Linked DNA regions of Kluyveromyces lactis. The protein of the gene in region 1 purifies or fractionates together with the protein of each later gene. This does not show direct contact. Links are inferred from orthologs where the notes say so. Each region holds a gene or a part of one and is shown in the gene's direction. Other genes may lie near its edges.

Evidence for each region.
Region 2: the proteins of CIN1 (region 1) and PAC2 purify together in Saccharomyces cerevisiae (affinity purification with mass spectrometry; 4 studies listed by BioGRID, with this or other methods). This does not show direct contact. The link is inferred for Kluyveromyces lactis from reciprocal best matches to the Saccharomyces cerevisiae genes CIN1 and PAC2.

What each region holds. Positions count from the first base shown.
Region 1 is NC_006042.1:2,189,380-2,204,766, forward strand, and holds CIN1 (Cin1p), read left to right. Parts: upstream 1-3,859; coding exon 3,860-6,901; downstream 6,902-15,387. Other genes in the region: KLLA0_F23441g (uncharacterized protein), read left to right, coding at 2,120-3,466; KLLA0_F23485g (uncharacterized protein), read right to left, coding at 6,906-8,813; serine/threonine protein kinase MEK1, read right to left, coding at 9,224-10,687; KLLA0_F23529g (uncharacterized protein), read left to right, coding at 11,567-13,396; KLLA0_F23551g (uncharacterized protein), read left to right, coding at 13,897-15,387.
Region 2 is NC_006040.1:1,169,156-1,186,838, reverse strand, and holds PAC2 (Pac2p), read left to right. Parts: upstream 1-13,137; coding exon 13,138-14,616; downstream 14,617-17,683. Other genes in the region: SGN1 (Sgn1p), read right to left, coding at 139-1,176; NOP16 (Nop16p), read left to right, coding at 2,072-2,791; mannose-6-phosphate isomerase PMI40, read right to left, coding at 2,994-4,280; KLLA0_D13706g (dynactin subunit 5), read left to right, coding at 4,732-5,388; FMP52 (Fmp52p), read left to right, coding at 5,682-6,356; YND1 (apyrase), read left to right, coding at 6,696-8,660; SUA7 (transcription factor TFIIB), read right to left, coding at 9,165-10,238; RNA-binding GTPase NUG1, read left to right, coding at 11,170-12,762; TMA20 (translation machinery-associated protein 20), read right to left, coding at 14,769-15,303, 15,419-15,429; MPH1 (3'-5' DNA helicase), read right to left, coding at 16,184-17,683. UniProt on the Saccharomyces cerevisiae protein: Required for viability in the absence of the kinesin-related CIN8 mitotic motor. Seems to be involved in the assembly of alpha-tubulin.

The sequences.
Region 1 (15,387 bases):
CGTCTGATTATTTATCGTCGTTGGAATATCGGAAATCAATATGCACAAGACCATAACAAGAAAGAGTCGTAAAATAATTTAAGAGGGAATAACCCAACTCCACAAAATATAACATCAAACAAACGACGATATATATACTTAAATGTATGGATTTGAGACAAGTGAGGAATACTACATTCGGAGAAGGGTTCTGCAAAGATCAGACATTTGAGGAGAATCGGTAATCAGCAATTAAAAAAAAACACATTACGAATACATATCAAGTATCGGACGAGAGGTCAGATTAAAAAGCTATCATTACACTGCTATCAATGGATATCTGGATAGCGGAACAGTAAGGAAGAACGGCTAATCGGTGTTTACTCCTCATCTCATATCTCGCTCGCAAACAGGTAAAATCTCCTTTAATCAGGATGAGTAGCTGAATATGCTCCAGAAATACTAGGAACAATTAAACTCATCTCATCAGAAAAACGCCCCTACAACAACCAAAACAAGTCGTAGTCAGTCATATGTATTCTTCTTACACGCCATTATTATTTGATCAGAACATAGAAAAAATAAAAATTCCTGATTATTACAAGAGATACAAAGTACTTATCAAATGTCACTATGTCAAGTCCCAGTAGCTGGATTCCCGCCCCTACAATTACACCGTGAAGTCAATCAAAACAGAAAAAGCGACCTTCAAAGCCATACAAAAACCTTCAGGTTTTTTTGCGCCAAACACCCACTGATAACTAGTATTTCGTTCTCTATATCTTTAATCTCATCTCATCGCATTAGCAATCCCGCCAACTGGGTTTCTCAAGTGGACAATCTCCCAACCAACAAAGAAAGCAGAGCCTTCTTTCAAAGGGCCAACTCGAGGGGCATCATTTTTCAAACTTGTAAACAATGACGGGTGCAAACGTTTCTAGGAAATAAGGTGAAATAATCCCGGCCTCGAGAATGACAGGACGGGAACTGTTAGTTTCTTTTTGTTTTGGTGAGAGTTTTTTTCTTTTTTGATTTTATTTGACCTCGCGCGCGGAATCTTCTGTGTGAGCAAAAAAGAGAGATATTCCGAATGTATCTGTTGTGGACGGTTGAGTACGGGATTTTCCTACTGCTTTTTTTTGGAGCCGCGCGCACTGTGCGGAGGCTGAACGAGTTCAGTGGGACGAGGAAACAGTCACGTGTATGTAAGATGCCATAGCACCCATACCTTTTTCCCGTTTTTTAATCTTTCCGCAAACCCCTGTTGTGGTGTGTGGGCGTCCTGGTCAGCGGGAAACCAATTCCGGACGAAACTCGGCGGATCTTGTTGTCAGGTGAAAAGACTGGGAGGACATGAGGAAGTAAGGGCGGACGAGAGAAGCTGCGGGTTACCCGCACATACATTTGTACCCACTGATAAGGATTGACTATCGTAATCTATCTATCGGTCGTTATCGAGAAGTACTCACTGTACATCGTCCCTGTTTTAGTCCCGCATCGTATCATTTCCCAATCTTTTTGGTTTGACCACGGAGTTTTAGAGTGTGTATAGGACGTCAACTAAGACGGATATCAAGACCCCCTTTGCTATGTTCCGTTTCCGTCTCTGTGTCTTTTGCAGCAGTGGCAGGATAGCTCTGCGAATAACACTGCCGCTTTGACAGCGAAGTAGCTCGACAAGGTTTAGGACGTTACCCTTTAGTGATAAATGGTTAAATCGTAAGTTTTTAAAAAGAAAGGTATTGCAAATACTGTATTGATACAAAGGGTAGAAGTTTGAGTATGATGTGAACTAGTTTAGTTTTCGAATCTTCTTAGGAGCTGTCGACAAGTGTTTTTCAGATGCTCACAAGCCCGTTAAAGAACTGAATGCTCGACAAATTAAAGTTGCCTTCGAGAAAAAAAGACATTGGTTGCGCGTTGCATCAAATATCGAAGTCACGTGCTCTTGTTGACCTTATCTCTGCAGGATGACTCTTCACTAAAAAACGGGCTTCATGAATTTGAAATCAATATATATATATAGTATATGTAAGTATGATTCTGGTCAGATTAAAACCCCAAATGAGAACAATTGGGCTTGTAGTGAAGCGTAAACAGTATACGGAGCATCTTCGCCAAATCAAATTTATTCATTGAAATGAACACAGTTCCTTTCGGACATGAGTTCAAAGCAAAATATTTCACTTACCTGGATTCAGAAGTGACTCTACTCAACCATGGTTCATTTGGTACTACACCTACGATGGTATTAGATGCAGCCAAGAAGAGTCTCGAAGAACATGAGAAGTACCCTTGCAGAGATTACTTCTTGACTTTTATCGAAGAATATAAGCGTCAATTGCAATTAGTCGCGAAGTACCTTGATTTGGAATATAAAAACTGTGCCTTTGTGACCAACGCCACTACAGGTGTTAACACTGTATTGAGGTCAATTCCATTCAATTTCAGCAAAGATAAAATTTTGTTCCATTCCACCACCTATGGGGCTTGTGCCAACACTGTGAAATTTTTGCACGATTACTTCGGATTACAGTACGATGTTATCGATATCAACTACCCATGCGGCAATGATGTGATTGTGCAAGATTTCGAAAAACGTTTGCAAACTAAAGAATATAAGGTGTGCCTCTTTGATATGATTACTTCTCAACCTGGCGCGACATTACCTTATAAAGAACTAATCCAATTGTGTCGTAAATATGGGACTTGGTCTCTGGTCGATGGTGCACATGCTGCAGGTCAAGTTGATTTTGCATTTGTTAATGAATTGAAACCGGACTTTCTCACGACTAACCTACACAAATGGCTTTCTTGCCCTAAATCTGTCGCGTTGTTATATGTTGATCCAAAACATCATGTTATGATTCAGACCATCCCCATATCTCATAACTATACAGCTCCTGCATGCCAATATGTTGAGGGTGACGATGGACATAATTCTAACATCCTTGTTAACAAATTTGCCTTTATCGGCACCGTTTCGTACTCGTCCTATTTTGCTGTGGAGGAAGCATTGAAATTCCGTAAGGACATATGCGGCGGTGAAGAAAAGATTCGAGAATATCAATGGGATTTGCAAGAAGCTGCTATTCCAAAGATTTTGGAGGTTTTTGGCCAAGGATCTGTTCTACTTGAAAACTCGACTAATTCTTTACGTTCACCCGGATTATTCTGTATAGAATTACCGATTAAATCGGAATGTCAACATCTCATTGAAAAGATGAGTACTGATAGAATTTATTTCCTAAACTTTAAGAGTAAATGTGATAAGATCATGCTCGCAGAGTATAAATGTTATGCGCCATTCCAAATTAACAACAGTCACTTGTTTATTAGATTTTCTGTTCAGGTTTTCAACGAACCTAGTGACTATGAAAAAGGTGCTACCATTATCAAAGACATCATTTACGGAGTTTTGGAGGAAGAGGCAAATAATACCAAACGCGATGAAGTGAACAGTCGCTTAGATTCGTTGTTAATTTGAGATTGCTTTTATGTAAAATTTGACTAACATTGATAATTTATGCATCTTCTATGTCATCGCTTTCCTTCATAGATTTTATATTTTAAATTGACATTGGATTTTATAATCTTGATTTGACAACAATGAAAAGGAAAAAAGTAAATTCAATATCATCTCAATTTATAGACATGATAGATAATCTCAATACTACCAATATCGATTGTCATTCCAAACACTTTATTGCATTAAAGAGATCTTCATTACAGTATCTTTATGCCATATTCTTGTTCACTTCTGATTTTTGAAGAGTTTTAAACACAATTGCTAGGAAAAGATAAACCCTTTTATTGAAAGCTTGCAAAAGACCTCAAGAATCCCTTCTCCCACCACAACCAAGCATAACACTCGAATAGTATGACATCAACAGCTCGACTCTCTAAAGACGTCCTTATACGAAAGCTGCAACATGGCATGTCCGATTTCACCAATTTCGAAGAGACAATAGGAGTGCTTCAACTCTTCGAGGTTGATCCTCTCATACTCGAGAAGGCTTTGCCTTCATTAATTAATGAATTGCTTTCGACATATTTTACTACCAACACTGATAATCGGCTCAAGATTGCACGGCTCTTTTACGAGTATTCAAAGATATTCAAAAACAAAAGGATACGGGTACAGATTCCCATCAAGATTTATGATCTGTCGAAAGTTTTAGCGCTATTGAAGTCTTCTCAAGATTGGCATTCTCAGTATTTACTAATTACATGGCTCGCTATGCTCGTAATCTCTCCTTTCAAATTTGATAATGATACTGAAATCCTTTTGATTGTATCGAAGTTCAATCATATGGCTCTTATGAGACCCTTAATTTCTAACATTAAGGCTGAGCTTTGGTCAAAAAACTACGCATTGATTGAACTACCTGAAAAAATTTCACAAGTAGACCCCATAGATCTCAGCTACATGTTAAAAACTTTGAAGCACAAAACAACATATCCCTTCAGCATTGAACAATTGATAGAGTTTACGCAATATATCACATCTCTCACTTCATTTGATAAAGAAATTGATGCTCTGTATACGTTGCAATTACTTCCGCATTTTGTTACTGTTCTAGCAAACAGAGATGAGACCTACTCTTGTATTTATGATATTTTGTTCTGGATGACCTCCACAATCAATCTTTCTTTCACTGACCTACGATTCAAATTGGCTAAATCTGTTTCGAAAATAGTCCTCTTTGTCTCTAATATTGATGAAGAAAGCAGTGAAATGATAATAACTGACTGTGTTAATGATACTGAAGCATTGTTAAAAACAAATTCAAACGAATCGATGGACTCAGACAGACTTCATACATTTTTACTGATTCAAGCAGAATTTTGCAGGAGCCGACTTTTAACGATATCTCATATCAGAAAATTCACGCAGAGTATACTTCCAGTAATTAGCAAATTTCAACAGAAGAGAATGATGAGCACGCAAGGACATCAAATAAGAGATGCAGCTAATTTTTTTTGCTGGAGTGCATTCAGAAGTTATACGAATATTGAGCTTCAGTCTCTCAAAAATATGTTCCTCAACCTATTATTTACAGCAAACTTTGACCATTCACCATTGATAAGAAAATCTGCTATGGCAGCTCTTCAAGAATGTCTAGGAAGGCAAGGAAACGTCCTACTAGATAATGTGACGGTTCTTCGACTTGCAGAGATGCACTTTGGTCAGCTGTCGAATGCACTAACTCTTTTTGAGTTGTTCAATGGAAGATATGAAAGTTATATTGATGAAATGGTACAGTGGCTAGTTCTTTATAGCGTTGGACAGAACTACGATTATCAATTCGTTGAAAAGGCCACTTCCCTACTTTCAGAGATGACATCCCAAATCAATGAAAAATCCCTTTCTAATATGGTTTCAAAGTATATCAATGAAATATCTGTGAAGGGATTGAAATATCAGGACCCTGACATATGTGCAAGAAGTGTTTATCTACAATGCAAAATTGACACTGAAAGTCTCCTGAAAAGTTCAGACGTTCTTGCAATTTTGCACCAACAGAAAATCCCCAAAGTTTGGAATGACCAGATTTCCTTTCAGGCATTAGCTGAGTTGGGAGGTATTTGTTCATTAGTTTTGGATGGTTCTTTACTCTCAAAACAGCAGGTAGAACGGATTTTTCTAATTGCAAGACATGCTCAGATGAATCATTCAAATTATGACGATATTTCGAAACTATTGAATCAACTAGTATCTTTTATTTCCGCAGATAGCGAACCTTTTGATGATTCATCCACAGAATGCTCATTTTGGGCTATATTCTATCAGTTATTCAGACTTCAACAACCTCTCATCTGCTGCGCTGCACCGTTTTTGTCACAGAACCAATTTATTTCCTTGTTTTATGATTCGGTTTCCAAAATGTCTTGTGAGTATAAGGGAAAAATGATTGATTCTCTTTCTCAGGCTATCTCTAGATATTCTCCTGATGAACATCTTCAGATATTCCTTCAAGATGTTGTATTATTCTTGGACGACTATACCACTACAGACAAAGGAGATGTTGGCCGCTTGACTAGGCTTTCCACAGTGAACTTGATTCTAAAACATAGCATGTTATTTAGAAAGTTGACTTGTCTCCCATTCATTGAAAACTCATTATTAAGATTAACGGGAGAGCCCTCTACGGAAATCAGACTAAAATGCTTCGAAGCGTTATGTACTCTTCGACATGTTTCCCTTGAGAACCCTCCTTGCAATTTTAATGCAATCCGACTTTATAATCTACACTATAGGGGGAACAACGAATTCTGGAAAGGGTACTTTTTTTCGGCTGGGGCAATTCATTCGACCGATAGACTAATCTCTTCCGCAATCGACGATCTTCTTACTTATTACCAAGGCCTTGAATTGGCTGACCGATTATTGCAATTGAATGAGTTTGCTCGGATTGTTCCATCCGCCAAAGAATTCGAGGAGCTGAAAGCATCCAAAATGCGTAACAATATACTGGGAACCATACCGAGAGAGATCATAAAGTCAACTATCACATTTCTTAACTGCTGGTGTCGGATGCTAGAATCTGGAATAACTCTCGAAGAAGATTTTAACTATAGCGGTTTTTTTGCCCGTGTGTACAATCTTCAACTTGCTGCAAGGTCAGTATCTGTCACCAGTTATGCTTTCAGGCTATTAACCCTTCTTGTCTGCCATCAGATACTTAATGTCAGGAAAAACTCAGCACAATTTGCGAATACCTTCATCAAAATACTATTAAAACAATTAGCCGCAGCCAAACAAAGAACCGAATTTTCCAGTATTCAAAACGTTGCTTTGGAATCTCTAACTCATATCTACATATGTGCTGACAGGAATAAAAAAATTGAACTTATACAAGAAAACTCCACAACTCCGCAGCAGTTCTCTGCTCTAAAAAACACTGATCTTTTAATCTAGAAGATTACTTCCGGACAGGTGCAGCATTATTGGAATCTGTACACGTTTCTTCGATAATACGAAGAAGATTCTCTAAACGAACTCTATCATTTTTATCCTGTCTGATATTATAGACGTTTCTGGCAGAAGACCCGTTCTTGGCCAGGTACCTCATTTCAAGTTCCTCAATACGCTCAACAGAGCATTCAGGGACAAAATTTTCTACCATCGCTGTTCGCATAACTTCATGAGAAAGTTCAGCATTAAGCCCATTTTCCTCAAAGAATTTTATAAGCGTAGACTGAATATTAATAACGGAATGCCCTAATTTATCTGCAGCAGTAGATAAAAACATGCTAATGTTTGTCGGAAAACAAAATTCGTAAGTGGAACCATCACTTTTAAGAAAACTTTTACAATGCTGCTTCAAAAAATGGTAGTAATAGTAGTAAAATTCTTCGTGTGTATGACCTTTAAGGGAATTGTTCAAAAGCACAGAGTAGTCGAATGGCATTAATTCCACAGAATCGGCAATCTTTTTCTGTAAGAAGTTGAAGAGCAATAAACTGGCAGTTTTATGCGTCGGTTTATTGCTCGACATTGCAGGAAAAAATGCATGGAAGTTCGAATAACGAGCCTTATTAGTTGCATTCGCTACGAAAAGGAGCACCATCTCCCGGTCAGAAAAAGCGCTTTCCAAAAATTCAATAAAACATTGAAAACCCTGACCACTGGCATGTTTTATAAATAACCCAAAAATGTCACATTTCATCTTTTGATTGAAATTCGGTTTTACCACACTTTTGAAAAATGAGTAATAATCCCTGCCCTGTTGAAGAGGTGGTATTTTGGAGATTAAAAAGTCCAAATTCATCTCATACTGTGAAAGGTCAACATTAGAATTGTTTAATATAGCCAATACCAATTCCATATTGGAATCTTCGACATCGTTAAGGGAGAGGGTGTTATGCAACGGTGCATAAGAGTCAGGATATAATTCCAAAAGAAGTTTGTTAGTTTGTTTTAGCATATTTCGATCAATAAATGCTCTGAAATCTGTAATGGTGTCTGGTCTTAATTTAAACCCCATATCCGAGTACTTTTTTAGTCCAAGATTAGCTGTAGTTTCATCCCCAGATATGAGAAACCGCTCAACAAAGCGCTCGAGTTCATATTGAACAATGAACAAAGGTACCAATTCAGTGTTTTGGATGTGGTTCCTGTAATAAGCTATCAGTTTGGTACGTTGGTCGGTTTCTTGATAAAATCTTAGCATTGTCATATGTTTTACGGTATGCCACTGAACTGCAGCCATGTTTGGAAAACTTGTCAGAACTATTTCCAAGGCCGCTTTAATCATCAATAGTGATCTGCCCTTAGTAATCATCGTTAGAGTCCGGAGTAGAAAGGATATGGAAGGAGATATGGTATTAATTTTAGTACAGTATTTTTGTAACAAATGAAGGTTGTATTTTGAAATAGCAGTGAGTTCTTGATTATTTAGACGATTACTCGTCATGGACATCATCATCTTATTGAAAACAAAGTAGAGCTCTTCCGGAATACCTGCTTCGTCTTTATACAACGTCTCGCCTGGGGGTTTGATCCATTCAATTTTATTTGTTTTTAGGAGGCTCAACATATGGAAAGCCTGTTTAAATTTACGCTCTCTAAGTAGCACATCCATATACGAAGAAACAGCTGGTAACCATAGTATGTCCTTTCGAGCACCGCCATTCTTTCCCGAGTCTTTATACCATGTAGAGTTCAAAAAAGCTCTTGTGGAATCATTAAGTAGCTTACTGGACCCACGATCTCGCAATAACTCTTCATCCAAGGTTTCTCTTAACAAAGAGAGATATGATTGATCGTATGAAGAAGAAGCAACTTTTTGTTTAGAGATCGCACTGCTTATTGATTTTACCTTATTCATGACGCAAATGCACAAACCTCACACAACAAATTTGGTAAACAGTAATGTTTTGCTGGCTGAGGGCTTACAATTGTGTAAAAAATAAGTCGAATGTTAGTGAAGATGGCAGTGAAAAGAAACAAAGAGCGGCTCAGTGCAATACAAAAAGCATAACTGGAAAGTGCCTTAATTCTTTGGATGTCGTCTTAAGTTAATTTTTTTTGTATTGCCAACTGTATTTGATATATGAGAGAAAAACAAAAAAAAATGAAAGCGATGAGCATAGAAAATATTGGACGGATAAATCAAGAAACAAAACACTATGACACGAAAAGAGCGTGTAACAAAGAGAGTATCTTCACCAATGGCACTTTATGTATATATAAACAAACAGATTCAAAGCTGACCAACTTTTTAATAGCAGCGTCACATTAAATATTGTTTGAAAAAAGTTTCAATCGTTTGTTAGGGTTTTTTTCGGGGGAAAGTTTGACACTTTTCGGTAGTTTATGTTTTACAACAGCAAAGGTATCAATGTTCTCATCAATTTTTATGCAATCAGAGCTTAACTGTAAAACTTTCTTTTTGTATATTCTTTCCAATTGACTAGTATGTTTTTCCACCCAAACCTGATGTAAAGCTTCTTCCACATCACATCTATTAAAAGTAGAAACTTGTAGACATTTCTTAACAAAACTCTTGGCACTATCTGTGATAGCAATCCATTGTCTAGCAGTAAAATTTAGTTTTCCAGTTCTAACATTTTTGATGATGCTTGCTTCAGATCCATCACCATAAAAAGGGGAAATCCCAGTGAGCATGATGTGTGTTATGACGCCGAGGGACCAAATATCGCACTTGGAATCATAGCCGTTGTTGTCTGGATCTAAGGTAGCAGTTCTACTGAACGATCGATAAATATTACGATCGGCTTTGAATCCCACTTCTGGTGCACAATATTCCGGAGTACCGACCACAGTATGCATTCTTTCTTTTGTATTTTGAGATAATTCTTTTGCAATACCAAAATCTGCAAGAACAACCTTAGTACATGGTTCTGGGGTATGCAAGAGGATATTGTCCAACTTCAAATCCCTGTGAACGATGCCGTTTGAATGTAAGAACTTCAAAGCTAAGAGAATCTGATATATGATTATCAACGATTCTGTTTCAGAAATCGGAACTAAGCAATCGCCTTTTGCCAAATAAGAGAAGAGATCACCTCCCGATATAAGATCCTGAAAAATGTATACATTGCCAAGGGCATCAACACAAGATTGATGAATACGAATAATATTTGGATGATTCAATTTTTCAAGAATGGTGGCTTCTTTCACCATCCTAGTCTTTGCAGTGTTGATAACTTTTACAGCATATGAAACAGTCTTTTTAGCAACTTGTCTTTTCATATTGTGGTCCACTTTTTCTGCTACCAAGACATGTCCAAAAGTTCCTGAGCCCACTATACGCGGCACAATTTTCCATCGATCCCATTCCGATTTAATTCTCAACCCAGTCATAAACTGTGACATCGTTTCGCTTTTCACTGCAGAGAACTTAAATTTTGCCCCGTTTGGTAATTGAATCACGTCTTGGTTGGATAACAAGTATGGGACGTCTCTGGATAAGACCTGCTCATTGACCATCGTCCCATTCAATGACATATCCTTTATGTAGCAAAGTGGAACGCTCTCGGGATCAAATCTGATGCCCCATAGCACACAGTGAATGTTCGAAACAGAAGGATGTTCAACAGAGTAAATACACTCCTCAGTGTTCCGTCCAAGTTTCAATACCTTATTAATTTCAATTTGGAAATGATTTACGATGAACTGCGGCGAGGAGTCCAGCTCGCTCTCCAAATCGACTTCCAATACTCCCAAAACTTTGTCCATTTTTTTAGCCTCCGTCTATCCAATATAGTGGGAACTATTCCAACAGAGGGAGAAGTGGCTAATGAGGCTCCTCTTAAGGATCTGAGACTGCCATGCTGTATGTTTATATAGATGCCAGATGTGCGCGGCTAAAATGAAACGACAAAAAAGCGAATATTAAGAAAACAAACAACCAATTCATTACCCGGCAAGCAAAGAAGAATGGCCCACGTGAAACAAAATTGCAATCCGATGACATAATCACAATATGCACCACGTGACTCTAAGATCCTCTTGAGCACAATTCAAAAGAAACACATACCGCAAGTAACCCCACTTCCCATATCGTTCAACGTCCTCTCCAACCTCTATCCTCTACATGCAAGCACAGGCGCTCAAACACCACCATGTTGCTCGCTAACAACTTCTAACCCTCTCATAACCCTTCATTAATTGTCACTGGGAACGTTCCAGTCAGCAATGTTTGCCTGAACTTCCCCTCTGTATTTCGAAAAAGTACTCACGAACTCTACGTACTCCATTCATCACGGCCCTCGAAGAAGCTTTTTTCCCTGCAAAACAGTAAAGAAAGAAAAAGAAAAAGCCATGAAAAACTATTATGGGAATTACTCACAGTCAAGTTCTGGCGATACTTTTTTCTGGCGATGCTGAAATATTGAAAAACTGAAAAATTCTGAATCGAGTGAAAAATTTCGGCAAAAAGACGTGATGTGATGAGCCATGTCTTATATATATATATATGCACCAGAACAGTCTTTGTCTGGTGAGATTTTAGGACACGGAGTTTGTGCAGTTGATTCATAGGATAGCTATTTAGGGGAGACATTAAGCTACTGTTCCAAAGGTGATACGACCAGGCAACCATACCCCATATTGAGTATGATATTCAGGAACACCGTTGTGCGTTTAGCACAGGCTGGGAAAAAAGCTATTCCTCCAGTGAAACTAGCGTACAAGAATATGCTAAAAGATCCATCGACGAAATATAGACCATACCCACAGATCAACTTGGAAAATAGACAATGGCCTTCGAAGACCATCACCAAGGCTCCTAGGTGGCTTTCTACCGATCTAAGAGACGGGAATCAATCTTTACCAGATCCTATGTCTGTCGAGCAGAAGAAGGAATATTTCCATAAGTTGATTGAGATTGGTTTCAAAGAAATTGAGGTCTCATTCCCATCTGCGTCGCAAACAGATTTCGACTTCACAAGATACGCTGTTGAAAACGCCCCAGAAGATGTTTCCATTCAATGTCTTGTTCAATCGAGAGAACATTTGATTAGAAGAACAGTTGAAGCTTTGCATGGTGCTAAGAAAGCCACCATCCATACGTATTTGGCCACCTCCGACATGTTCCGTGACATTGTGTTCAACATGTCCCAAGAAGAAGCTATTGCTAAAGCTGTGGAAGCCACCAAGTTAGTTAGGAAATTGACCAAGGATGATCCTTCGCAAAGTGCTACACAATGGACTTACCAGTTCTCTCCAGAATGTTTCAGTGATACACCTGTAGAATTTGCTGTTGAGATCTGTGAAGCCGTAAAGGCTGCTTGGGAACCAACTGAGGAAAACCCAATCATTTTCAACCTACCTGCTACCGTCGAAGTCGCTACTCCAAACATTTACGCTGATCAAATTGAATACTTTTCAACTCACATATCTGAACGTGAAAAGGTCTGTATCTCCACACATGCGCACAACGACCGTGGCTGTGGTGTTGCTGCTTCTGAACTAGGTATTTTGGCTGGTGCTGACCGTGTCGAAGGTTGTTTATTCGGTAATGGTGAACGTACTGGTAACGTTGACTTGGTTACTGTCGCATTGAACATGTACACTCAAGGTGTTTCTCCAGAATTAGACTTATCTGATATTAACTCAGTCATTGAAGTAGTGGAAAGATGTAACAAGATTGCAGTTTCACCAAGAGCCCCATATGGTGGTGACTTGGTCGTTTGTGCTTTCAGTGGTTCTCATCAAGATGCTATCAAAAAGGGTTTCAATCTTCAAGAAAAGAGACGTAGTCAAGGTGATACTCTATGGAAAATTCCATACTTGCCATTGGATCCAAAGGATATCGGTAGAGACTACGAAGCTGTCATCCGTGTCAACTCTCAATCTGGTAAGGGGGGTGCCGCTTGGGTTGTCTTGAGATCTTTGGGCCTAGATTTGCCAAGAAACTTGCAAATTGAATTTTCCACTCAAGTGCAAGAAAAGGCTGATGCTCTAGGTAAGGAACTAAAGGCAAACGAAATTGTCAGCACCTTCAAGTCGTTATACAACCTCGATGGAAGCGCCTCCAACATTTCTTTGTTAGAATACAATGTTTCTAAAGTACAGGGTGATCAGAAGAGTTTTGTTGGTCAAGTCCAGATCGACAACGAAGTCGTCGGCATTGAAGGTCTCGGAAACGGTCCAATTTCCTCTCTAATCGATGCGTTGTCAAATTTGCTCGGTGTTAAACTTGGTGTTGCCAACTACACCGAACATTCCTTAGGATCTGGTTCTTCAACAAAGGCTGCTTCTTACGTGCATATTGCTTACAGAAGAGAAATTGACAACGAAAAGGCCTACCAATGGGGTATTGGTATGTCTGAAGATGTTGGAGAGGCTTCTGCCAAAGCCATCCTTTCTGCTGTTAATAACTTGATCAAAAAGGGCGAACTAACAATACCAGCTCATCGTGACTCAGCCTCAGCATCTGCATAGTCAGCGGAGTTTATACTTTTCAAAAGTTCCACAAACTTGCACTGTATCTACCGAGGTAAAATACTACTTATTTATTCGTTGTATTTGCGACTTCGTTTACCATCATTTTGTATTTCTCTTCTTGACAATTCATTTATCAGTGTTACACCGAAGACTTTGAATTGTCTTTATATTATATAATTTATATTCAATTAATATCAGGAATATCACCACACTCACCGTATATAACATTGACATCATGGTATATATTCAAGGTTGGAAAAATTGATGTGGCTCTTCATTGCGTACATTCAACATGCCTTTCAACTGATCTTCTCATAGTAAAAGGGGTCGAGGTAATAGTAAAGAAAAGTCAAAAAAAAAAAGCTGATCATAATAGAAATATTGATTTGATTAAAGATCACAAGACGAAATGATAGAGACAATAAAACTGCAAGTAGAAACACCAGATTTACTCTTGTATCACTAACAGGACCACCTACATTGCACTTTGGGTTGAAATGCAGATTTTAGTACAGCAAGGTCCCGAGAGAGTAATAGCACTCGCTTCTGAAAGCTTTGCATTGTTGTTGAAATATGTCCCACCGAAGGATAAGACACATCCGGTGTGTACCATTGAGATGGTTCCCAAGAGCTATTTGAAGAAGCAGAAATTTGAAAAATTGAGCAAGCTTGAAATCCATGGCTTCATTGGGTTAATTGAGTTGGAAGGAAGTATTTTCATAGGTACAATTACTGGAAAATCTGAGGTTGCCAGCCCAATCCCGGGAGAAACAGTCAACAAAATCTATGGAGTTGATTTCTTCTGTCTAGATAGTAATCGATGGGATTTCGTTGAGTTCGATTCTAACGGATTTCCAATCATACCAGAAGAAGAATATGCAAGCTCTTCCAATCAACAGCAACAGCACCCGTGCCATGATTTGAAGAAATTACTATCGAACGGATCATTCTATTATAGTTCCGATTTCGATCTAACATCTTTACTACAGTCTAGAGGTCTCAACCAGCATTCGTTATCCTTCGATAATTACCAAGAAGAGTACATGTGGAATTCCTTTTTAATGCAAGAAATCATCACATTTAGAAACCATTTGGACGATAAAGCCAAGCAAATAATGGATGATGAAGGATTCTTAACGACAGTGATCAGAGGTTTTGCTGAAACTTTCCCATCATATATCGGCAGAATGCCCGTCAATTTAACTATGATATCAAAACAATCTTGGAAAAGAGCGGGAACAAGATTTAATGTTAGAGGTATTGATGACGAGGCAAATGTAGCAAACTTTTGTGAAACTGAATTTATTATGTATTCAGAGGAATACTGCTTTGCTGTGACAGAAATTAGAGGAAGTGTACCTGTTTTCTGGGAACAAGATACAGCTCTAATCAATCCAAAGGTTACAATTACCAGATCTGTCGAGGCAACGCAATCGACCTTCGATGAGCACTTTAAGAGATTAATACAAAAATACGGCCCTGTTCATGTAGTAAATTTATTATCAACGAAATCTTCCGAAATAGAACTAACGAGACGATACAGAGAGCATTTCGAGCGTTCAAAAAGCCTCAAATTAAACTCTGAAATTTTTTTAACTGAGTTTGACTTTCACAAAGAGACCAAAGAAGAAGGATTTGCTGCTGCATCAAAAATCATGCCTACATTAGAGCGCTCTATTCTGGAAAATGGTTATTTCTCATACGATGTTAAAGAGAAAAAACAATTGTCTGAGCAAAATGGTGTTTTCAGAACAAACTGTTTAGATTGCTTAGACAGAACCAATCTAATTCAGCAGTTTATTTCAAGATATACATTTATCTTGTTTTTAGAAGATTTCCAATTAATCAAACCAAAACTTCCATTAATCGAAGAATATGATTGGTATCAAAAACACAATAATATCTGGGCTGATCACGGTGATGCAGTTTCTCAAATTTATACAGGAACGAATGCATTAAAATCATCATTTTCAAGAAAAGGTAAAATG
Region 2 (17,683 bases), on another chromosome or scaffold:
TTTAGTTTGGAATGAATAGAAATCATTGGGAGATATCGATTAGTGTTGAATAGCCACAATTAAAACAAACAATTATCTCAACTTTGGAATATACATTTTTTCCAAGATGAATAAGCGATGGATGGGAAGATATCATTTCTAATCTTTAGATGGAGTCACCGGAGTTTCTGCTTCTCCTAAAGGCTGGGTCTCTTCATTCTCCGTAGTACCTTCACTGCTGGAATTGCTGGACTTTTCTTCTGGGGTAGCGTTAGCATCAGAATCAGCATCCGCGTGGTTGAAATTTCCATTCTGTTGATTTCTTGGCCCTCTATAGTTACCATTGTGGTTATTACCTCTTCTACCGTTGTAGTTGCCTCTGAAATTGTTACCTCTGTAATTACCTCTGTAGTTGCCTCTTGGATAGCCACCCATTTTAAGACCAGAATTATGAGTAGGACGTGGCACATATGGGTATTGAGGATAGAATGTATTTTGAGGAGGAGGTGGAATAGGCATGCCGTTTGGTTTGTAATTTTGATAACCTGGTGCGGCGTATGGATAATACCATTGACGCATAACGTTTCCTTGCCAGCCCGGGTAAACCCATTCTTTTCTTGGGTAGTAATTTTTGTTGTTATTATATCCAGGAACGTTGGTTCTCTTTTTAGCCACATTGATGGTTTCTCCATGCAATTCAGAATCCTTCAATTCCAAAGCCTTAGGAATAGAATCCGAACTTTCGAACTCAATATAGGCGTAGCCTTTAGGAGCACCAGTCAGTTTATTGTAAAGAATGGTGACCCTAACAACCTCACCACAATCTTTGAAATGCTCTTCAAGTGTTTCAGCTGTGGCTTCGGTGGTAATATTACCGACAAAGATCGAGCGAGAGTCAAGTTCAATTTGTTTCTCTAATCTTTCTGCCCTCGATTGATGATGATGATCTTTTTTCCCGGAATTCGTTTTAACATTAGATTCGTCTTGTTCTCCATTTTCTGAAGCCTCTGAATCTTGGGATTCTTCTTGTGAGTTCGATTCTGGTATTGGTTCTGATTCCGACTTCTCTGCTTCGGTGTTGTCAAGATTTTCCAAACTCAAGTTTTTGATAGATTTCTGCACCGCTTCTACCTCCGATCCATTTGGAATACCATTAGATTCAACAACCTGTTGCAATTCTGCCTCAGTCATAGTCATTACGGATCAGCCCTATAATACAAAATTTCTTTCCACTACTACGAAACTGAGTTACTATCTTTGACCTTAGAATTCAGTTATCCAAGCTTCAAACAGAAAAGAAAGACGTACTCCGAAACCTTTGAGAATTGTGATACCCTTCAATGGAAAAAGCCTAATGAGCCAAAATGTTCCAAAAGAATACTTTTGCTTCCACTTCTTTAACAAATCACTGTTGAAAAAAGAAGTTGCAGGTTATTCACTAAGTTGTGGAAAAGAAAACTCTCTTTATTTCAGTATTTCAGTGTTCTAACCTATAAACAGATTTTCTTCCCCATACTAAGCGGTAGTATAACAAAAAAAACCAAAAACTAGGAAAAAAAAAAGACCATTCGCTCTACTTGAGTTTAACCTACAAATTTTTTTTTTTTTTAGATTCATATAGATTTTCATGAGCTCTGATTTGATTAGGGACGAAGGTTTAAGGAAAAAGGACTTTCTCGGCTTCAACGGCCTAAAGAAAAACAATACAATAGAAACTGAATAAAAAAAAAAAAAAAAAAAAATAAAAAAAAATAAAATTCAAAAATGGGACATTCTGCATGTCCCAGCTTTGAAAAATAATTTAATTTTGAAAACAAGTTACAAACATAGCAGAAAATTTGAAAGGATTCTTGTTAGTATCCTCTAGCTTTTCATTTCTTTTGTTTCCTCTGAAAAATTTCCTTAGCTTCGAAATTCGAATATACAGAACTTTTCACCGATGAGATGAGATGAGATGAGATGATGAAAGGTTGACCGTGGGTGCAGTGTGCCATTAAGATAAGTACTTCTATCATCGTGTAACCTGAACGGTGTGTATACATAGACCAAGAGAAAAACTAAACTAAATTAAATTAAACCAAACATATCAAGCATGGCTTCCGTTAGAAAGAGAAAGATGGCCAAGTCCTCGGTGAAGAAAGTGTCAAGAAGGAATAAGGATAAGCAAAAGCAAGTGAATATCAAAGGGAACCCAATCATAGCTGAGAATTGGGACTATTCTTTAACTCTGGCACAGAACTACAAGAAACTTGGTCTTAAAGTGAAAATGGGTAAATTTGCTGGTGGTGAAGAAGCGGATCTAAGTAAAGTTATCAAGAAAGACGTGTACGAGCATTCGGCTTTCTCTGATGATGAATCAGAGGACGAAAAAGACAGTCAAGGAGAAGAGGATGAAGATGATGTTAACCTGGAAGAACTAAATAGCGATGGGGAATACGATGAATCTAAGATTCCAGAAGGAGAAGCTAGAATTAAACGGGACGACGACGGTAATATTGTGAAGGTTTACTATGGTAAGAGGAAAGCCATTGATATAGACATGGATGTGGAAGAGCTAAGACGTGAAAATGAAAAGAATGAAGTCAAGACAGAGGTTGTGAAGAAACTAGAGGCTTATGCTTCCAGACCAGTAGCGAAAAAGGAACGTGGTCTAAGTCAACGGGAAGACCAATGGCTAGAACAATTATATAAGAAGCATGGTGATAACTATAAAAAGATGTTCTTCGATAAGAAATTGAATGTATATCAACAAACAGAGAATGTCCTAAGGAGAAAAATACTCAAATGGAAGGAATTGCATAACATCGAGTAGATGGAAAACAACCGCTATTGTTTGTATATTATTTAGCACTTTAAACATGTTATCTCTTAGAGATAACAATGTCCTTCACTCAATGGAATTTTCATCAATTAATGGTACAATACTGTCAAAATTGAAAACTACGAAATCTGTTTATAAAAGTTATTTGTATATATCATACTGTTTCTTTGATTGTGGTTCTCAAAACATTTATTTAATTTGGTTCGACAAATGCTCTGTATGTGGTAAAGTCGGTGTCGTCTGCAATGAAGTCGACTTCAGTTCCAGGTGCGATGAAGAAGACAAAACCCGGTTCCGCTTTCAATTTCAAATCACCTGTCTTGATGAAACCGTTACCCTTGGTGGTGATCACAATGGAAGGACCGTGTAAACCCTCAAAGTGTCTCGTACCGACACCATCCTGGAAGGTGGTGTACAATACTGCAAACTCCTCAATTGGTGGATTAAATAGAACAGATTTACCTTGGCCAGAAGATCTTTCAAAGTTTTCTGGAGACATCTTTTGTTTTTCGACGGAATCGTAAGTGTATGTCAACATTTCGACCAAGTTTTTAACGTCCTTGAACTTTGGTGTGAAACCTGCTCTAACGACGTTATCAGAAGCAGCCATACATTCGATGATGTCACCAGAAATGTACGCGTGTGGGTCCTTCGCTCTCAAGAAGATTGCTTCACCTGCTTTCAAGTTACAATGGTTTAGAAGTAACCCACCACAGAACAAACCAACATCATCTGGGAACTGTTCATTCAAGTCTATTAAGAGTTGTGGCAATGTGTCCTTGTTGAAATCAGCAGGAGATTCATGAGCTCTCTTGATCAACGCACGTGCGTTTTCTACCACCACTTTATCAGAAGCGTTCATAACTTTACTGAATACTTGTTGCAAGAGTTTCTTGTTCTTGGCATCATCAGCAGAATCCTTCACTGCCTCTGGGTTAATATTGTTGATAAAAGTTTCGGAAACTTCATCCCCAACGATATTTCTCAATTCTGGGATACGTTGCAACTCATCTGCAATCTCTTCCAATGGCTTGAATCCACAGAAACCTTCAAAATCGGTGACTGCCAACGCCATTTCCGGTTTGTGGTTATCATCAGGATAATTGGCAGGATCGTTGAAATGTAAGACTTTAGCTAAAGCCTTATCTGGATGGGCTTGGATAGATAACACTTTTTTAATGGATAAAACTTTAAACAAGAATGGTAATTCCTTCATAGAACCAAACTTGTCGACGTTGCCTTGACCCAACATTCCAACTGGATCAGCTTCAATCAAATCACGCAACGATTCTTTAGTATCATGATTATAAGATGGAACCTTATGATGAGTACCCATCCATAGTTCGGCATATGGTTTCTGTTCATCAATTTTTACTGATGGGTCTGAATGAGCAGCAAACTGAGCAACTGCAGAGGATGAACCGATCTTACCCCAATCGTACTGCTGGAAGCCAGCATCTAACCTGAAAAGCTGTGGCATGGTAACTTGTTTTGATATTGATATTAAGGTTCAGAGTTAAACTTGATAGAATTAAACCCTGATTTCTGGTTGATAAATAAAAGGTCAAAAGTAAGAACAGCAAAAGCGGTCTCGTTATTCTTGGCAGTTGTTGTTGTTGTTGGCACTTGTTCATTTCGACCAAAATGATACCGATTTTTGACCAGCTAAAAATAAAAATGAAATTTTTGGCGTTTTCATCACACTGAAAAGTAAGTAGTACTTGGAGAAACGTGAACATCAGGTTAGGTTATCTTTTAGTAAACACAAACGGCATGTTACAATATCAAGTCGTCGATTATACGTTGGTCAGCAGTGGGTGTTATTACTGGCTCTGCATTGTACATGGATTTATACCGGGCATCTGCTATCTGTTCACTTGTTTTCTAAAAGTGGACTACAGTTGACACATTTTCCGAAACAGTTTTGAACAATGGACTGGATAGAAACTGGCCAAGGTACTAGGATCTCGAAGCAGGCTAATGTCTTGGGTCCCGATAAGATTGTCCTTGCTGGCCAATGTGTGATTTCTCCCAAATGTACTCTAGAAGGCAACGTGTTATTGATGGAAAATTACGATAAATCGGCATCGGCATCAGCGAAGAGGAAGAATCACAACAGGTATACGATATCTGTAGGTAGGTACTGTATTCTAGAGCCAGGAGTCAGGGTGAAGCCTCCTGTGGTCGGGTACAGGAAAAGTGAGGATGATTTGAATTCAGGTAAAGTGGCAATTCATTCTGACCTTTTAATGAATTCATACGTATGGATCGGTCAAGATTGTAAAGTATACTGCAAGAAATTAGGGTCTCGGGTCGTACTAGGTGCGAATACACACTTGAATCGATGTTGTGAGATAGGAGACGTGGTGATAATCGATGATAATCTTGTAGTGCCAGAACGATATAAGATCCCATCGTATTCTCGAGTCTCTAGACATCCGGACGTTGCAACTTCGATTGTCGTTAAACCGTTACCTCCGATGTTTGCACCGGTCATTGAAAACTGGTGCCAGAAACGGTACCTAGGAGTTCAATTGAAAGAGCATTACTTGCCACAGATGACAATGCCCGGTGAACAAGATCTATGACACCGGAATCCAAGAATTGGTACCGGTTGTGCTCTTTCTGTGTCTTTTCTTTGTATTTTCCAATTCGATAACGCCGTTTTAATGAAGAACATTATTAATTCATTCTATACATGAAAAGAAGTGCCAACGGACAAAAAGTTATAAAAGGAAAGACACTTACTGAGACCAAGTGTGGCAAAAGTCGGAGAAAATTCGCATAGACACATATACCCCCTTGATAAGTTACACGAACACATCGCACATTCCACTTGTTTGGTGTTAACTGAAAAATTATTAAGCTGAGATAAATAAAGATGAACGCTTTAGTGTTAGGAGCAACCGGATTATGCGGTAGTTCGTTTCTAAAATATGCTAGTCAAAACAGTGGGTTTGACAAAGTATATGCTATTACTAGAAGAGATCTCCCTTCTGAGTTGAAGACCGATTCTGTAGTGTCTGTTGTTAGTTCTGAAACGAACAAATGGGGTGAATTGATCCCCGAAGATGCAACAGTACTTTTGACTGGTCTTGCTACCACAAGAGCAGCTGCAGGTGGGTTTGAAAACCAGTATAAGATAGACCATGATATGAATGTTGAATTAGCGAAGGTTGCTAAGGCTAAAGGTTACAAAGTCTGCGTTTTGGTTTCATCCTTGGGTGCTAATGAGAACAGTTTCTTACCATACCTTAAATTGAAGGGTGAGACCGAAAGGGATATTATCGCTCTTGACTTCGATAAGACTATCATATTAAGACCCGGTGGATTGTTAGGTGAAAGAAACGGTACTTTTAAAGGGTTTGGCGATAAGTACTTCTCAAAGATCTCTTCATGTTTCTATAGAAGCAAGTTGCAAAGTGCTTTAGGTTATCCCATCTACGGTGACGAAGTTGGAAAAGTTGGTGTCAAGTTAGCTTTGGATTCATCAAGAACTGAGAAGGTCCAAATTGTGAGTTCACCAGAACTTTTGAAATTAGCTGAGGAAAAATGATCCTTTTGAATGTATTTCTCTCCCCTCTTTGTAGTTCACTTAATTATTTACCTACTTTCGATTTCTCTCATATATTTACACATTCCCATATATCTAGTATATGAATCTATCTAGTATGTCATCTGTTCTACTTGATCCTCATTCTGCTATGGTTTTTTGCAGTCCGTCTTTTTGTTTCCGATACTTCACTCGTTTCCTCCTTTGTTAAGTCCATTGGATCCTTTAGTTTACAACTTAATAACTTAATGCACAAAATTTTCTGTATCGATGAACAAAACAACGACGACAACAGAGAGTGACTGGCCTCAGTAAGTCCAGATTGTCGTGGTTGTAGGTGCAATGATTATCACAGGATCTGATGAGCAATATAAGCAGTATGGGATTGTGATTGATGCGGGTTCATCAGGATCAAGAATTCATATTTATCAATGGGATTCACCACAACACGTTTTGAATTCCAAAGGTCAAGAGGAAGCTGATAAAGATGGTTCTCAAATAGCACTACTGCAGTCTGTCCCTCAAATTCGTCAGGATAAAAACTGGACCCATAAGATTTCTCCTGGACTATCAAGTTTCAGGGACAAACCAAATAAGGCTTATTCGAAGCACATAAAACAGCTTTTAGAATTCGCCAAGGACGTCATTCCAGCAAATAAAGTTTCCGAGACACCAGTTTTCATTCAGGCTACCGCCGGGATGAGATTACTTCCTCAGAGAAAACAAGAGTTGATTTTGCAAGAACTGTGTAAATCGATTAGAAGTGATACGAACTTCCTATTGAAGGATTGCTCATCACAAATTCAGATCATTGATGGGGAAACAGAGGGTTTATATGGGTGGTTAAGTCTCAATTATCTGTTGGGGAACTTTGACAACTTTGATCCTAAATATGCACAACACCCTTCGTCAGGTTTTATGGATATGGGAGGTGCTTCAACGCAACTAGCGTTCATGCCGAGTGACCCGGAAGAAATTGCAAGGCATAAAAAGTATATGCACACCATATATTTGAAGAATGTCAATGGTGACACCCAAGAATGGGATGTATTCGTGAGTACATGGTTGGGGTTTGGAGCCAATAGGGCAAGGTCTAGGTATTTGGCTCAACTAATTAATTCGTTACCTGAAAACGCAAATGAGGAAGATGATGACGACTACAAGACAAGATATATTAGCGATCCATGTTTACCGAAGGGAGCAAAAACCGAGTTTGAGTTCAAGGATAGAGATTTCGAAATCACAGGTGCTGGTGACTTTGTACATTGTATGAAGTCGATGTATCCGTTACTTTTGAACAATCTACCTTGCTTAGAAGAACCTTGTCTCTTCAATGGTGTACATGCACCAAGGATTAATTTTGAACAAGATAAGTTTGTGGGTATTTCAGAGTACTGGTATACAGCAAATGATGTGTTCAAGATGAGTGGGGAGTATAATTTCCATGAATTCTCGAAGAACGTCAAAGAATTCTGTGAATCTGATTGGAATACGTTGAAAGAGAACAACGCTAATGGAGTGTACAACAATATACCAGATGACTTCTTACTGGATAGTTGTTTCAAGGCGAACTGGATATTGAACGTCTTACATGAGGGCTTTGACCTTCCTAGGATGGATATAGACATTCCAGACGACTCAAAAAGCGACGATGATAGACATGTTCCATTCCAGAGTGTTGAAAAAATTAACAACCAAGACGTAACCTGGACGTTAGGTAGAATTTTAATGTACGCTTCGGGACTTGTCGTTGCCGGAGACGCAAGCGCCACTGTTGGTATAATGCCAAGTCCCATGGATGAAAAGAAAGACGGCAAGCAATTCATTCCGGGAGCCATCCTGTCCCTCCAACAGCCAGTCAATAACGCATCCTTCGGAGTATCATTGAAACAAACAATAATTCACATTTTCATAATTTCATTAGTGCTCGGTTCGATATATCTTATCATTAGCAAATTCAGATTCGCTAGACAATTCCCCAAACACAAGATATTTGATGGTATCAATGCAGTGAAAACAAGTTTCTGCAAACTTAAAACATATAGCAAACTGGCTCAAGAAGAAGACATGCTAGGAAAATTGGAAGAAGGTACCGTTAATCGGGGTAGATTTGGTCGTCAAGAAATGGAAAACAGCTCAAATTTCAGAAGTAGAAGTATGATGAATTTAGGCGATTCCCTTGATAGTAAAGATTCTTATCCACTGTCAGATAGGGATAGGAAAAACACTTCATTACCGAACCAAGGGATGAGACCAGTATTTTCAATGGCCGATTTCTCGAAGTTCAAGAACACGAATAAAGACTAAGATATGTACTTTCATAAGAATACAAAGTAATTAACATCCTTTAATCAATATACAAAAGATCTGCATTACTGAAAGAACGCCAACCATAACTATGCTTTAAACATTGGAAGACGAGAGTAAATCCATTAAAGTATTTTATTTTTTTTAAGTTTTTGGTTCTTTCGACGTGTACGTAGGTCCATATACTTTATCCTATAGACTTGAAACACAGTTTCGAAACAGAAATCTATTCAATTGCATAACTCGAGGTATAATAAATCATACACCAATTAAGTTTCTGAGAAAGAAAGTTATAAAGTTCAAATAATGTGTTAGATGCAATGAAAAAGATAGGGAAAGAATTTATGTATATTATAGTTGATCCGAGAATTTTATAGGATATTCAATTCAAATTTGGAAACTGGGTATTCTTCCCAACTAATGGTTTTCTTTTCTTGATTTTTTTTTAATGTTAGTATTAATATTCTTTTTTTTTTGGGTTTTTGTAATGGGTATTGTTAATAATCAATTAGCCTTCTCACTTTTGTCATTACTGACTCTAGGAAGGTTGTCCCATTTCACGACACCAGATTCTATCAGTTGTGGGTCGACCACTTTTTCTTTGTGTTCGTATAATGCTTTGTATCCACCTTTCACGGTACCTTCTGTGACTTGTAAAGTCTGAGAGATTCTTGTAGGACTGATATTCAATTTGAATAGTAGAGTTGCCATATAGATAGCTGCTGCTGCGATGGTGATAGGAGATCTACCAGCCAAGACATTGACATCCTTAGAGTGTTTCGCGATGTACTCTGCAGCATTAGCCACCTGCACTGAAAGGCCCAAATGAGAACAAAATCTAGGGATGAAAGTCTCTGCACTTGTCTGTCCTGTGGTGATATTTGAAGTATCAATATTGGCAAACCCTCTATCATTCTTTTCTCTTAGAATGTTCTTGATGATGGTAAACGTCTTCCCGATTTCCTTCTTCCGCACGTTAGTCAAGGATAAGATTTCCTTGAAAGATCTCCCGACCTCTGCTCTCCGACATCCGACAAGAATAACTGAAGCCATGATACTTTCCTGTGATTTCCCCTTCAAGACTCTCTCTTCGAAGCATAATTTATAAGCTTCTTTAGCACAATCTTTAACAATCTTGGGCAGTTCTGCAGCATCACACATCATAGTAATCTTCGCATATGCAGCTTGCAACTCGTTATCCTTCTTGTCAACGATAGATTTCGACTGAGCCCTATTCAAATCCCTAGTAACTCTAGCATCACTTCCCTGGGCCTGCCCGATACGTGTGGTTAAATGGTTTCCATCCAACAAAGGATTTGAAGCTTCACCAACACGACTTGGATCGTCTCCATTCTGATCGTCATTGCTAAAAGTACGCCATTCTGACCTGGTATCCACAATTCTATCCGATAAGACTAACCCACATAATGCACAGACGATATCACCTTCACTAAACCGTTCCACAACTTTCGGAGGATAAACTTTACATTCGGGACACGATATAACAATGTTCAAATTTGGCCCCCTCCTTCTAGATGAGACAGCTACATTTGCTGAAGCTGCTGCTGGCAATGACATAGTTTCTCTTTTCTCTTGCCTCGGTATATGACTCAGAACAGCCTAAAAAAATAGCTGGAAACTGAACGGTAAGAAGTCGAATGATGAGCCGCTAAGATAACTAAACTTAGGCGCTGCTTTTGTTATAAAAGAACAGAAGAAATACCGATTAACCAACTAGTAGACGGACAAGACTGTGTAAGTTGCAACTGGATAGCTCCTTATCATTTTAGTTTCTCAATTTCTAAGCAAAAATGCTGGAAACTCGACGGAAATATATATCACGTGATAAACGCCACAGAAACAACCGTGGCATGTCTCTTGTTTACGGTTGATGAAAATTTTCACGAGATCCGGGTAACAAGTAATAACTTCGCAGTTATTACTACACTGACTGGAAGTAGAGAGGATGAGAGATGTGGTAAAACAAGTTCCACCCTCGCAACTTCGTATCGTATATCACGTTATATCAGTTCTTATTACTGAGATGATTTTTGTTCCCTGCTAGTGTCAAAAAAAACTGCGCAACGGCTACTGGGCTGCCTTTATATGTACTGACAGTTTCACTGCCCTTGACGGTATTACTGTATATATAATGTTAAATATCTGCCTGGAAGTGCTCATAGATATACCAAATACGTCCCAAATATTATTGACACAAATTATGGCTTGCGAGTAGCATAAGATTGCCTCGTAATTGACGAGTATCCACTGTGTTTCCACTGTCGTCCGCCAGCAAAAAGAAATTCTTTTCTACTTTGAAATTTTTCAGCTCTTCGAAATATGTTAAAACCTGCGATGAGATGAGATGAGATGAGATGAGACTTGATATTTACAGAACACCTGTTCAAGTAGATGTTTCAGTACTGTTTTCCGTGATAAGTTCACCGGAACAGCTAAGATATCTATAATCCAGTGCAGTAAATATACCTTTTTCCATTAATCAAAAGAGATGGTGAGAGTAAGAAAGAGAACTTCCAAGAGAACTTCCACTCGTATGAAGGAGGGTATCAAGAAGAAGGCTGCTGCTCAACATAGGAAAGAGCGGAAACTTGCTAAGAAGGATGTGACATGGAAATCCAATAAGAGTAAGGATCCAGGTATTCCGGCCAATTTCCCGTACAAGAACAGGATCATCGAAGAGATTGAAGCGAAGAGAAGAACTGATTTGGAGGAGAAAGAACGTAGAAAGCAGGAAAGGTTAGAGGCTAAGAGAAGAACTCGTGAACTAGGTGAAGATGTTGGTGATGACGATGAATCTATGGATGAAGATGAAAACGACGGCAACAATGGTCTTTCTGCTTTGTTAGAATCCGCTCAGCAAGCTGCAAAGGAGTACAATGGGGAAGGTATCGATGATACAATGAATGGAGAGCAAGAGGATTTAGAGGTTGCTGAATACGACGTAGACTTTTACGCTGACGCAGATGATGATGATTCTGAATTAGAAAAGTCTAGAAAGGCTTACGATAAGATATTCAAGACTGTGGTGGATGCGTCCGATGTTATCCTTTACGTGCTAGATGCAAGAGATCCAGAAGGAACTAGATCGAGAAGAGTGGAACAGGCCGTGCTTCAATCCCAGGGTAAGAGACTAATTTTGATCTTGAACAAGATCGATTTAGTGCCACCATACGTGTTGCAACAATGGTTAACCTTTTTGAAATCCTCGTTCCCTACTATTCCATTGAGAGCTGCTCCTGGTGCCACTAACTCCACATCTTTCAACAGGACTTTGACTCAGGCTACAACTGCTTCAAGCTTGTTAGAAGCTTTGAAGACTTACTCCAATAATTCAAACTTGAAGAGATCCATCGTTGTTGGTGTCATCGGTTATCCAAACGTCGGTAAGTCGTCTGTCATTAACGCATTGACCTCTCGCCGTGGTGGTTCTTCTAAAGCATGTCCAGTGGGTAACCAAGCTGGTGTCACTACATCTATGAGAGAAGTCAAGGTAGATAACAAGCTAAAGATCTTGGATTCTCCAGGTATTTGTTTCCCAAGTGAAAATAAAAAGATGAGTAGAGTGGAACAAGAAGCAGAGTTGGCCTTGTTGAACGCTCTACCTCCAAAATTCATCATAGATCCTTACCCAGCTGTGCTCAAATTAGTGAAGAGACTTTCTAAATCTGAAGAAATGACTGAAAGTTTCAAGAAGTTGTACGAATTACCACCTATCCCAGCTGCCGATGCAGACTCTTTCACCAAACAATTCTTGATCCATATCGCCCGTAAGAGAGGTAGATTAGGTAAGGGCGGTGTTCCAAACTTGGCCAGCGCTGGTATATCCGTTCTTAACGATTGGAGAGATGGTAAGATCCTAGGATGGGTTCTACCCAATGCTTCTAAGGAATCTGCTGCAGAACATGCTGCTACATCTGGTGAAGCTAACCAACCAACTCTAGGTACTGGTGCTGTCGCAGCACCAGCTAAGGTGGAACAAACGACCATTGTTCAAGAATGGTCCAAGGAATTCGATTTGGATGGTCTTTTCGCGTCATTGGATAACGCCATTGAAGCTGAACAAGACAACTTAGGTAATTGAGAACACAGAAAACGAATTATTCTGCATCTCTATGAAATACGATCAAGGATCCTATTGCTTATTTTATTTCGCATCGTTAAAGCTATAGATTTAAAAGCTTATGTATTAGGATGTGAATTTGAACACCCGTTTCAGTCCACGCACCTAATAGACAATACACATTTGTACACTACTACATATAAATGATTTAATATCTTCTTCGGCAAGACGTTTTTGTCATCTCTTTTCTTTAGGTAACAAACCTTTAAATAATACTTTAAATGCCTACTAAAATCAAAATGTTTAAAAGAGTGAAGAAGAGAAATAATCCGTGAGTCTACCATACGAACTCCAGGCTACACTATGTGTACAGCGTGACTAAATCTAGGGCCAAATATGCAGATCAATGTCAATGATAGATTGAATATAGGAGGTGAGTTTTGCACAGTACGATACATCGGATCATTGCCAGAATGGCCTAATATCGTTGCATATGGTTTAGAGTGGGACAACAAGCAAAGAGGTAAACATGATGGAACGTTAAACGGAGTACGATACTTCAGAACATCCGATGGACAGAGCAGTGGCTCATTTGTGAAGGAGACTAAACTAGATACATCTCGGCAAGAGAGAACATCGTTTGAAGGTGCATTATTGATGAAATACGGTGATACTTCATCAATCGATATTACCTACAAATTTGGGTCGAAAGAGACTGAGTCATATGGATTTGAGCATTTGAATGAAATGAACTCTGATTTTGACAAGTTGGAAAGTATCACGCTATCAGAAAACAACATTTTCCGAGCTTTCAAGACAACCTGTTCGAGCATTCCGTTTAATAGTGCTCATTCTTCTCTGCGATACCTTGATTTATCCTTCAATCTGTTTTCTGACATAAATGAGGTGTACCGCATACTGCGACTATTTCCATCTGTCGAGACTGTTATATTGAGTGGGAACTGTTTCACGAAGTTAGAAGCGGATTCCAGTGAACAGTTTGAATTTTCCAATGTCAAAGAACTATCAATGGCATGTTGTAAGCTCCGAAATGGAGATATAGAGACAATAATAGAGGCTTTCCCTCAAATAAAGGCGCTAGACATTTCTTCAAACTTGCTATCAAAACTTCCAGATGTTTTAACCTCATTACAGGAAATCAACATATCTGATAACCTTTTCATTGGCTTCCCAAAAGTTCTTTCAAAAGAATCATCCTTAACTAGCATTGACATTTCAGAAAACAAAATATCAGACCTTAACGATCTCAACACCAACAGTCATATCATGACTCTTAGGATTGATAGAAATAGGATCACAAGTTGGGAGGAAATAGACAGTATAAATACGGTTTTCCCTAAATTAGAGACGCTTTGGATTAAGAAGAACCCGGTATGTTTTGAAGATACGCAAAAAGGTTTCTATAGTATCATCGCAAGATTGAAGTCTTTAAAATGTGTGGATGGAACTAGGATAAGTGAGGATATAAGAAATGAGGCAGAACTCTATTTCATATCGCTGGTTTTATCGTCTCAGATAAATTATGATACGCAAAGTGCTATGTGGAATCATTTGACACTGAAGCACAGCATAAACACAGAAAGTAGAACCACCGTCCAACAAACGAATTTCCTTTCAAAAGAACTGATTGAAATTCCAATAGTTTATGATTCTGAACCTATCAAGTTGAAACTATTGAAAAGCTTCAGTGTGCGTTATTTGAAGACCTTTCTGCGATATAAATTTAATCTACAAGGCGAAATTTCCCTGCAATACTCTGTCATGGACAACATCAAACACGATTTCACCAATGAATTCTCTCCCCTAGCAACCTATAATATAGAAGAGAGTACTATATACATCAAGTCCAAATAAGACCTTTATCAATTAAGTACATTAGAACCAATGAAAGAAAAATGGTATAAAAAAGATGACTATATCGATTATGTACTTTGAATAATGCTGATGACTACGTTAACAGTAAACGGGAAATGCCAAGTGAGCGTAAATGTGATAACAAATGCGCTTCAATCAGCAGAGAATGTCCAAAGAGGATCACCCAAATGATGAATCATTTCCACACCATGGCCCTTGTTAATTTCCTTAATTTCCTCAGTACTCATCAACAATTTCCCTACTGCCATAGCGGTTTCTTTATTCTCTGCGTTGATAACCACAATGGTATCCTTTTCGAATCCTGGAGCCTCAGGCAACTTAGCACCTGGAGATGTCAAACCAGGACACATGATGTTGGACCCTGCCAATACAAACTTAATGGCACCTCTATCAACTTGAACCGTTGGGAACGCCTCGGGGAATTTGTGTACAAATCTCAAAGAAGGAATTAATTCGTCAAAGTTTTGAAAGAAGAGCACTTCCCCATTGACCAAGTACAACTGAATCTTACCTTCACACTTATATAGTTCAATTTGAGCCTTCTTCGGAATGATTTCATCGATCACTTCTTCCAACTTGGGATACTGCGCGAGCAATTTTGCCTTCAAATTCCTCTGTATAGAAGATTTGACATTTGAACGAGTATGGATATCTTCTCTAGTGAATCTGAGGATGAAGAAAGAATAATCAATAAGTTAGTATTCGATTTGAGTTGAGTTTGTGTGATTTCAGCAATTATCATGCATGTCAATTCTTAGTTTATCTTTTAAACCAAACATACTTTCTGAACATCTTGGTACCGTTAATATATGTATATTTTACTGGAATATCGATACTTGGAGTGCCAACTGATAAATGAGTTAGGACAAGAACGAATTGAAACAACAACTAATGCTAGGATTGACCTATGAACCAAGTGAACTGACACCTAATAATTTGCCAAATCCTAGTTCGATGAGCCAAAACTTTTTTTCACCACGAAAAAAAGAGATTACCCGGGATTAGAATAGTACCAAGTTTCCTCTTTACTATGGTGAACAATATCTCTCTCTATAAACAAATATCTATACATTTGAAGGCGAGATGGATAAGGCATCATTCAGCAATTGGACTTAGCCTAATCGCCGGATGAATCCCTAATCAACTCGTATGAAGGAAAAGGATGCTTCTTGAAGAAGGAAAAAAAGGTAGGTTCCAAAAATTCCCTGCATAACACATGTGTAAAATGAAAGACACAATACGTTATGAGGAGGAGGTCATGGTTAAAAATAAATTTCAACCAGCAATAACACAATCTCGGACGAATCCTCACTGATATGCGTATTTCCCGTGCATAAGGATGGGGTTTTAAACATCAAAAAGATTTATATAAACATTAAATGTAGAATATGTTATTTCTGAAAGTGTTGATTAAAGGATCTGAAGTAACTGGCAACTTTTCAAATTTTTAAAGCTTTTTTTTCTCGAGAGATTTGTACTGATTGACGAGTGAATATAAATTATAAGTACAGACGATGTGTGTATATAAGGATTTCTCCTGTCCTTACTAATCGGATAGAAAGTCTGATAGACCGTCTTCATCTTCGAGAAGATCAGTCATGTTTTTGGCGTTTGTTATAGTTTCATTCGGAACAACAATTGAAGGCAACATTACTTCGAGTTCCATTCCTACGCTACGGTTGTAACCAATACTTCTTGCTAGGGCATTGGTTCTGTTCATTCCGATAATCTTTTCTCTTGTGTTCGTATGCATGTCTTGGCATGTATTCAGGATTTCTTCTATCTTGGGTACGTGGCGTATTTTTCTCGTCTTACTCTTCGCTAAGTCTGGCGCAATGCTCCAGTGCACAGTGTCCGGTACATATTTTTTTAGGAAATGTCTCTGTTCTTGCATGGTGAGCATTTGAGCTGAATCTGTAGCGCCGTATTGGGGGACCAACTCATAGCCGCTGTAGTACTCAATACTAGTACTAGGATCTTCGATTTGGTGCGCGAGTTTCAGTTTTTTCAGTACTGGTTCTTGAACAGTATGTGAATCCGTCTGTACCGAGGATCCTTGTGACGCAGATGGGATGTGGTTGGTAGTCTCATCCGGTGTTAAGATTCCCTGCGTTGTGGTTGGCTTATGTGGTTGTGAAGGCTGTTCCACTTGACTTTTAGCTGGTGATATCTCTACAGAGTCGTACTCGATTTCATCTAACATGTTCCATTCTTTCTTAGGTTTGATGGCCTTTTTCGACACGGATGGTGTAAGGCTGATCTTTTCACCGAATTCGTTGATTGTATACTTATTCAACAAACTTGAAGCCGAAGTAAAACCTTCTTTAACGTTATCAGGCATGAAGAAAGTCTTATCTGAACTCTTTTTCGCCTTCGCGGTTGTTTTCTTGGGTTTCGGTTCCTTCTTTTTGGTCTTCAATTTACCGAGCATTGCTTGTGTAGCATATTTGATCACTTCGTCGGAATCCTCAAGTTTATTCACTTCATCATTTTCATTTGAAATGATGATGAACTTCTCTTCACATTTCGGCTGCACGTTTGGTGGTAAGATACGATCTGATTTCGTATACTCCAATGCATTATGGGTAATGGCAGTTTGTAAGTTTTCATAATCGTTCATCGCTTGTTCGAACTTGAACTTCTCGTTCCCACTGAACAAAAGAACAATTCTACCATCTCTTTTTCTACCAGTTCTACCCATACGCTGAATGTTCTTAATAGGACTACTTGTACTATCAAAACATATGATTAAATCAACTTCACCGATATCTAATCCTTCTTCACCGATCGAAGTACAGACTAAGACGTTATATATACCCTTCTTGAAATCAGAAATAACTTTTTTCTGTTGTTTTTGATTCATACCAGACAGCTGGGCTTCTTCAGAACTACCAGTTCTTCTGCCAGTTCTTTCGAGTTTTGCTTGCTCCTTCTGTCTCTTTTTCTCTTCCTCAACGCGATTCTCTTCCTCTATGCGCCGCAACCGAGCAGCTTTAGTCCTTCCCTTAGGTTTATTCTTTCTGATATACGTTTCTTCATCAAAATG